Linked DNA regions of Oryzias latipes. The protein of the gene in region 1 interacts with the protein of each later gene in a pairwise test. Links are inferred from orthologs where the notes say so. Each region holds a gene or a part of one and is shown on either strand. Other genes may lie near its edges.

What was found.
Region 2: the proteins of F-BAR domain only protein 1 (region 1) and exosc5 interact in binary tests that used the Homo sapiens proteins (3 or more experiments, as listed by UniProt). The two-hybrid records come from large-scale screens. The link is inferred for Oryzias latipes from reciprocal best matches to the Homo sapiens genes FCHO1 and EXOSC5.

Annotation. Positions count from the first base shown.
Region 1 is NC_019862.2:14,978,281-14,982,098, forward strand, and holds part of F-BAR domain only protein 1, read right to left. Parts: coding exon 3,733-3,818; intron 2,710-3,732; coding exon 1,654-2,709; intron 444-1,653; coding exon 337-443; intron 266-336; coding exon 70-265; intron 1-69. UniProt on the Homo sapiens protein: Functions in an early step of clathrin-mediated endocytosis. Has both a membrane binding/bending activity and the ability to recruit proteins essential to the formation of functional clathrin-coated pits.
Region 2 is NC_019873.2:26,312,752-26,317,274, reverse strand, and holds the start of exosc5 (exosome complex component RRP46), read left to right. Parts: upstream 1-1,677; 5' UTR 1,678-1,723; coding exon 1,724-1,820; intron 1,821-2,839; coding exon 2,840-2,953; intron 2,954-3,504; coding exon 3,505-3,626; intron 3,627-3,710; coding exon 3,711-3,851; intron 3,852-4,330; coding exon 4,331-4,420; intron 4,421-4,508; coding exon 4,509-4,523. Other genes in the region: catenin alpha-1-like, read right to left, coding at 1-182, 257-450. UniProt on the Homo sapiens protein: Non-catalytic component of the RNA exosome complex which has 3'->5' exoribonuclease activity and participates in a multitude of cellular RNA processing and degradation events.

The DNA.
Region 1 (3,818 bases):
GCTGCAGAGCTAATAAATGACAGACAAACTTAATGCGGGAATCTGGATTCAGGATAGACTTGAACTTACACGACCTCTGCTGAAGCTCCTGATGCTGATATGACAGAGGGGAGGCTTGTCCTATTCTAGCAGGGCTGGGCCCACGGTTCTGCCCCCCCCAATCACACTCTCGGACCTGAGTCCCCCACTCGCTGGGGCTCGAGGAGGAAGAGGAGGTGAAGGAGGGAGTGGGCTCCGGCAGCGGTGAAGAACATAGCGACCGAGACTGAAACGCAGAGGAATTTAAATAAGGGCCCCCTCAGCTCCGTTCGACCGCCGTGAATGACAGGTACTCACCCTTTCACAGCCGCTCAAGCGGCCTGAAGACCTTTTGGCGTGGGCCGCTTTCTGAGGAGCAGGTGCCGCCACGTCAGCTGTGTCCTGTCTGAAGTTGTGTTTGGAGCCTGAAGGAAATACAGAGCTGCTGAGTCCAAACAAGCTGGCTCCAAAATCCAACCTTCAATTCAACCCAGATTTAGGATTTGGCCAACATTCAGCATCTGCTAGATTTGGTACAGTCCACATTGTCAATAAGCTATTTGACAATCATTATATGCAATAAATTTAAGGGGATATATGTGAGTACTAATATGTGGAAATATGTTTTTTTGATTTAAAGTTTATTTTTACAATTATATTTTCAAGGAGATAGCCTTATTTTCTTATATTTTTTTATAATCAATTAATGAATTCATAACTTAAAAGGTTTGATATATTTAAGTATGTATTAATGAACCAATTTCAAAGAAAACTTCAGAAGCCGTGAACAGCCTGCCTTTCTTCTTTTTTTCTCCCCTTTTCTCGTAATATTACCTCTCTTTTTTACAAGAAAACAATTGTTTTTCTTGTGATAATAAGATCATGGTAGCACGAGAACACTGAAAATTGACTTTTCCATTTATGATCACCTGCTTGTAGACACGGAAAAAACATTCATGCATCGCTCTGTAACCATGTTAACGGCCTGGTCCCTTCATCTGCTCACTGATGAAATTGAAAACAGCAACCGGAAAAACTGTAGTCAAGACGTTTGGAGAGCGTAGCCACGGCAACAAATCAAAAGCGTTTCTTTGCCGTTGTTGGGCAAGCTGTACGGCTTAGTTTACAGCCTACTGTAATCACAAAGTAAAGACACCTAAAACAGATTACAACTCAGCGTCTGAGTGGGGGAAAGGGACGCTACAGTTTATTCTTATCTCGACGTCTACGATCTCGTTATCAAAAAAAAACTTGTTAGTATATAGTAGATGTAGCTATCATGAGAAAACTGCAAAAAAAAAGAAAGAAAAAGGCAAGGTAGGCCGCTTTTAACTGCTTTTCCCCTCATCAGATAAATAAGAATTGTGATATTTATTTTGTGAACATCTTTTAAAATCTGCGTATTTCTGCCACTAAAGGATGACTCAATGCTTGCTGAGAAATACTTTTCAAAACGTATTTTTGATTTGTAATTTGCAGAAAAAAGTTCAAATGCGTCTAAAATTTGACAAATACTTTAAAATACGTCTATTGAATCTACAAAGAGTAAAGCTAGATTTGCAAGAGTTGATCTGATGGTTTTGTAGAAGGTTTTCCAGCGTTTCTATGGAGTTAGAAGAGGAAATCTAGTGGTACCCCTCTGAGAGCTGATGGTGCAGCTGATCTGCGTGTTCAGGTTCAGGCAGTCCTGATCTTTGTCTGTTGAGAAACAAAGGTCCTCCTGGGGCCCTGAATGCCTGGTGAGGGGAGGGGCGTTCCTGCGCGGTTCGCTCTCCGAAGATCGATGTTTTCTTCTCTCCCCCCCCTTTCTTGTCTCTCCTTTGCCCCCTCCTTCCTGTGACTTGGAGCCGGAAACCTCGTTAAATGGGTTGTGGACAGAGTTCCAGTGCGGCGGCTCGTTCTTTGGCTGGGCTTCGGGTAAAGAGTTCAAGCTGGAGTCGGCCCCCGGTCTGCTGCCGCTGCTGCCGGTGGGGCCGCTGGAGCTCAGGAGGGGGGGTATCACCCCCCCGGCTGCTGCAGCCAGAGAGGACTGATGAGTTGGACTGCCAATCATTGTTATTGCAAACGGGTCGTCTGAGGTGACAGGAGGGGGGAGGCTGCGGTCCCGCTTTCTGTCTCTGCGGTTAGACGAGGATGATGAGGACGAAGAGGAGTGGGTTGGGAGGGTTTTGGTGTCTGTGAGCGAGACAGTAAACGGGTCTCCGCGAGCCTCCTTGCCCCTGCCATCCTGGGACTGGCAGGGGGGAGGGCGCGTCCAGGGGTCGGAAAAGTTCAACGTCTCCTGAGTGACCGTCCTCTCAAAGACGGCTAGGAAGGGGTCCTCAGTGGGAATGTGCTTGCAGTTCCACACAGAAGGCTCCATCTCAGGTGGGGGGAACTGAGAAAAGGCAGTAAACTGAGAGGCGGAGTCCTTCTCTGGGGGGCCACGGGAAGGGCGTGTGGAAGGGGCAGACCAGGCATAATCGTCCTGTGAGTTTGCACTGCGTCCAGGGGTGGGTTCGTGAAAAGCAGAGAGGAAAGGGTCCACCGGTCGCCCCAGGGTTTGTGTCTGCTCCTTGCTCTGCGACACTGGGGGCCAAGCTGCCCAGCCCGTCGGCTCAGGGGAGGGTCCCAAAGGCTGATGGGAGGGGGAGTCCAAGCCTGAGTCCTCAACATTCTCCGGGGAGGAAGAGTCAGATGAGAAGGCGGCATCTGAAAGACAGTAAACAGGTCCATCAGTGAGAGTTCCAGACCAAACAGTTTTTCTGAAACTAAAGGTGCAAAAGTAACCAAAACCTCGAATCCAAAGAAGATTTTTGATTCTGTCTGGATAAATACAAACATTTTAGACTTTCTTGGGAGTGCCCTGACGTTCTTCATCTTTGACGTAAACCATGCGTTTGTGGTCAGACATCAGTGTCCGCCTGTTTTTATCTGGACTTTTTACAGAAAGTCATATCAAATCTGCTTCATTCGAGTCAGACTTTAACATCTAGATTTTCAAAAATACCTTTCTGCAATGATTTATGAGTTTGAACGAAAAACAATGGTTCAAAGTGATTCCATGAAACGCAAACTTTATTTTTAAAGTACAGATGTAACTTTAAAAAACTGGAATTACACTGTGTGAATATTATATTTTAAAAATAATGATCTGAATTTTGGGGTGTATTCAGACCAGAAAAACCCGTTGGTTGTTGAAGACTCTCGTTCATCCAGGTGGCGTTATTATGGAGCCATGGCAACTGGACTTAAAATATTCTTTCGCCAGTGACGAAACTTTTCAAGAAAGAATATTTTAAGTTCAGTTGCCATGAATAAACTTCAAGATTCCATCATAAATGTTTTTTTAAATTAATCAAATTTTCTTAATGTTTGAATGATGTAGCAGACGACCTGCAGCCGTGCTCCTCGGTTTGGCGGCAGAGTGAGCGCTCCCACTGTGGCTTTCAGCCTTTTCTCTGCTGCGGTTGCCGCTGGTCACCAGTCAGCCAGGTCTGGATGTGGAATTTTTCTGGCTCCTCATCATCAACCGAAGGACGGATTGTATTCAGACTGAGGAATGTCAGAGCGATCTGAAGCTCAGTCCGACTGGAAACGAACCGAGACCACCTCGAAAATCGAGAGAAACGAACTCTTGTTGGCTTTAAACAAGCCAAATGTGTCCAGTCTGAATACACCCTTGGTTTCAGAGAAATGGGTGCAGGTTCATGAATGGAAACCGATTTTTCTTACATTCAGAAGCTCCAAAAGTGTTCTGCTCTCTGAGCTGTTCCTGACTATCAAAGCTTTTGGATTTGAAGGCCATCTCCAGCGGAGGT
Region 2 (4,523 bases), on another chromosome or scaffold:
TGACCACTCCCAGGAAGACGTTCTGCGTGGCAGTGATAAGCTCCTCTCTGTGCTCCGTCAAACCTGGCTGGATGTGGAGTTTCTGAGCCGCCAGCAGCACATGCTGCCCCGACACGGTGACCGACTCAAGAAGGGCGGACATCTCCATGTGCAACACATCATCATCCGTCTCTTGAATTTGCCTAAACAGAGAGTCACTTCGGTCTCTTGTGGATTGACAAAGGCAGATGTAATTGACTAGCAGGAATGCACATACCTGGAGGCCACTGCTGCCATGTTCTCAGTAGCTCTGGCCACAGCGTGAGCCGCTGCCTCCAGCCGGGTGAACTGCTCTGGCTCATGTTCACTGTCGCACAGCAGCACGAGGAGACAAAGGTGACTGGAGATTGGGGCAACCACTTTCTCCACTGCTGCAGTTTTGATAAAACTTTGATCCAGACATGAAGGCATAGTTTCATTTATCGGTGAATTCTTCCCTCTGCGAAAGAATTAGCTGTGCTGCATGTATTATTTATCATGCTACACAAAGTGCCATATGGCAGTTCCCCATAGCAACTGTTGTCACAACGTTATTTAGAATTAATAACATATAAATCATCATTTCTGACATTATTCATTGATTATTGACTGCAGTGGTGGTTCTGCACTAACTTACTCCCAGGGAGAGTAACTCCCCAGTGCAATTTGACGTTCTTTTGTGTTCCCTATTTTTATTTGGCCATTTTACACAAAAGATGCGTGAATTTTGTGGGCTCGTATTACGGGGGTGTCAAACTCACTCACACAGGGGGCCTAAACAGAAAACATGCTTTAAGTTGGGGGCCCAACAACATTTATTTACCAAACTAAAGCTACACTTTAAAAAACAAAACAAAAAATACTTTTAAACCTTTATAACAGAGGTTTTTTAACATAAAAATGAATAAAAACAGACAGTATTGTTAATCCAGAATAAATCAAGTTAAACCGTTAATAACGGTGCTCTCCATAAAAATATATTCAGTCAAAATTATACAAATATGAACATGCTGCAGAACAAAATAAACAAAGTCTGGAAATATTTAATTCAAATTATTCCGTTTTATTTGCTGTTTTGTCAAATTTTTTGTCAGCAAGTAAGTTCATTTCTGCTTGCTGTGTGACGTGCTGTGTGTGTCTTTGTGAAACGTATCAAAGGGATTTGATTTTTTTTTAAACTGCTATTATGAAAACCATTTATAGGTCTTATAAAACATTAAAAACTAAATCATATAACTCCTCACTGGAATTAATCAAAGTTTATTTTGGCATTTTCCTAATTTTGTGCAACACCAACAGTAAAAATTCTCCAAAAAGCCTTAATTCATTCATTAACAAATGATCCATTGTTTATGTCTAATCTCAAAAAGTGCAGCTGTTTTACTGCCTGCATTACCTGCTGTCTTTATGTCAAATACTGACACCAATTAAATGACAGGCATACGTAAAAAATACATTTTATATGGAAAATAAAGACACGTAATAAAAGTGTCCAACAACAACAATAGCAATAATCATAATAATAATAATAATAATGTTAATAATATATTTTTTAAACTACTTACTTTGTTGTTGACTTTCTGACTGTTTTTTATTGAACACAAAATTTAAAACACAACATTGGTTTTGATGCAGAGCCCCTTCGCGTCGGTAAATAGATGACGTCATCGTCCAGCGACGCATCCCCTTCCGTGTTGGCAACGTGATGGAGGTTTCTGCTCCTTCAAATGTTTCTCTCCGAGAGTTTGGCTGCGAGCAGAGTTTACTTTCTCGGCCGGATGGATCTGCGTCTTTCGTTCAAGGTAACAGCTGAAGGAAAATGTTGACTTTTTTCTTTAAGAATATGAGTACAACTCCCGATTCCGCCCAAAGAATTATGGACAAACTTATTATTTCAGAGAAATAATTTGACTCTCGACTGCTGGCAAACGATCTTTAAATGAGTTTTAAGCTAAGAATGTCCTAAAGTACTTTTTGTATTTGCTTTATTTTGGTTTTGCATTAGTTTTAGCTCTTGGTAAATGTTGTAAAATTGTTAATATTCAAGAACAAAAATGAGCAGCTAAATAATAACTAAATATTTTTACGAACTTATCTTTTCACATTTAGTTTTTTGTAATCAAAAGTCAACTGCTGTTAAACCATTAAGAAGCCAAACATTTGAAAAATAATTTCTAGTCATTTTTCTATAAATAAAGATGTTGAAATGTTGGATTCATCTGTTTTACTTTCTGTGTTCAGATCAGCTCTCTCAAATTTAAATATTTATTTCTTGGTTTACTCATCCTCTTTTTTTCATTCCCCAAATCATCTTTGAATATTTGTATCCTAGTGGTCATTGTGAACTGTTTACATCGCCGGCATCGGACTGTATAGTCTGGGGTCTTGGAGCAACATTTTTTCAAAGATTTTCTAATAATTTCCCTATAAAAGTTTTTTTTTGGGGTAATGCTTTAAATTATTTTTTTAATATGACCCCATCTTCTTTTTTATTCTTTTTTTTCAAGATATTGTTTAATATAGTGTATGGGATAGGCTCCAGCAGGCCTGTGACCCTGAAAGAGACAAAACGGGTTTAGAAGATGAATGAATTATATACTATGTAATAATTCTACAGTAAACCTGAAACTGAACCAAAACCACCACTCTAAGCAGCAGATTTGGTCATGCATTTACTGCAAGATTTACACTGTTTTTATGTTTTATAGCCAAGATCAAAGTTTACAGACACAATAAGAATGTAGAAATCACATCATTGTTTCAGGTTTGTCCTCTATTTTAATAGAACTTTGATCTTTGTGTTGTTTTTGTGTCTCTGGAGGGGACACGAGTGTGATGGCTGGAGTTTATGGACCTGCTGAAGTAAAGGTCAGTAAGGAGATCTACGACCGAGCAACTCTGGAGGTGCTGGTTCAGCCCAAAGTTGGTCTGCCGAGTAAGTTCTGCTGCATGTCCTGGAAAAGTCAGATGCTGTCACGTGTGTCTGGTTTTTCTGAAACCAATTCAATCCTTTTTGTTTTTAATCTGTTGTAGAAAAAAAGCAAAAACAACTACTAATCCTTGTTTTTGTTGCTCTAAAATGAATAAATCCAGCTTTAAAGAAGGAAGTCTGTTAAATGTAGAGACAATTATAATCACTTTCAATGGATTCAAATGTTTATATGCAAATATCCTCTTAAGCCTGGTTTCATTCATGTCTTTGGGTTGAATGGAAATCACAGATGCTGTTTTATTTCTACTGAATCACAGTAAAAAGATGAACTTCCTCAGGTCTCATGTGGGTTTTAGTTTCATCTGAAGGCTCACTCGTATCTCAACAGTTCTGCAATTTATAAATAAGCATTAAGACAAAGGTCCGATCAAGGTATTAAAGTCTTTCTTTAGGAATGTTTTGTGCAACTGATTTATAGGATTACGCCATAAGGGGGAGCCAGTGGATTCCTTATCAGCTTTGAACTCATATCCCATCATGCCTCTGTTTTCCAGGTGTGAGGGAGCGCTCGCAGGAGCAGTGTGTGCGTGAAACCTGCGAGGAGGCGCTGCTGCTCACCCTCCACCCTCGATCTTCGCTCACGCTGGTCCTCCAGGTGCTGCACGACGACGGCTCTGTATCCTTTACTAAACCCGACCTCTGAACCCGCGGGGGGCGTGGCCTAGCACCTGCCGAGTCGTCTTCCTTACCTGCTCTGCAGCTCCTGTCCTGCTGCCTGAATGCAGCCTGCATGGCCCTCATGGACGCAGGTCTGCCGATGAGCTGCCTCTTCTGCGGCGTGACCTGCGCCATCAGCGCATACGGGCAGATCATCACTGACCCCACCTCAGCTCAGGAAAAGGTCAACCAAAGATGCTGACACTAACCTGAAAATCTTCATTTTTGCTGCTTTGAATGTAGAAATATAATCAGAAAGCAAGTTTAACAAAAAGTTCTCAATTTATGGTTTAATTTTCATGAAAAAAAGTCACATTTCATAGAATCCCTAAAACATGGATGTCGGTTTTCATCAGATCACACCCCTGACCTAACTTTACTGGTGAAACAAAAATCCAGCTGTGTAGTTTAGATCCAGATTCCAGCTCAGGGGAGGATAAACAAATTTAAAGGCTAATAAAAATTCTAACTTTGCTAAAAAAAAATGGGTTCATTTTCCACCAAAACTATTTTTTTTTTATTTCATAAAAATGCAGTTTTTCTTTAGTGTGTCACCTTCAGTTCATCCTTTTGTCTCAGTGTTTCAGTTCTAAAACAGTTTGCCTTTAAAATTGGTTGTCTGCCCGTCTGGCACTAAAGTCCTATTTTAATTTCTTTTCAAAGGAGAGTCGAGCTTTGATGACTTTTGCCATCGACAGTAAAGAACGTAAAGTAATGATGTCATCCACCAAAGGATCCTTTTCCGTTCATGAGGTCCGTCCAGCCGTTTTTCCATCATCTTCCGCTAAGCTCTCATTTCAATCCTCTCAGATGTTTCTTGTCTTTCTTCTGCTGGTTGCAGCTGCAGCAGTGTGTA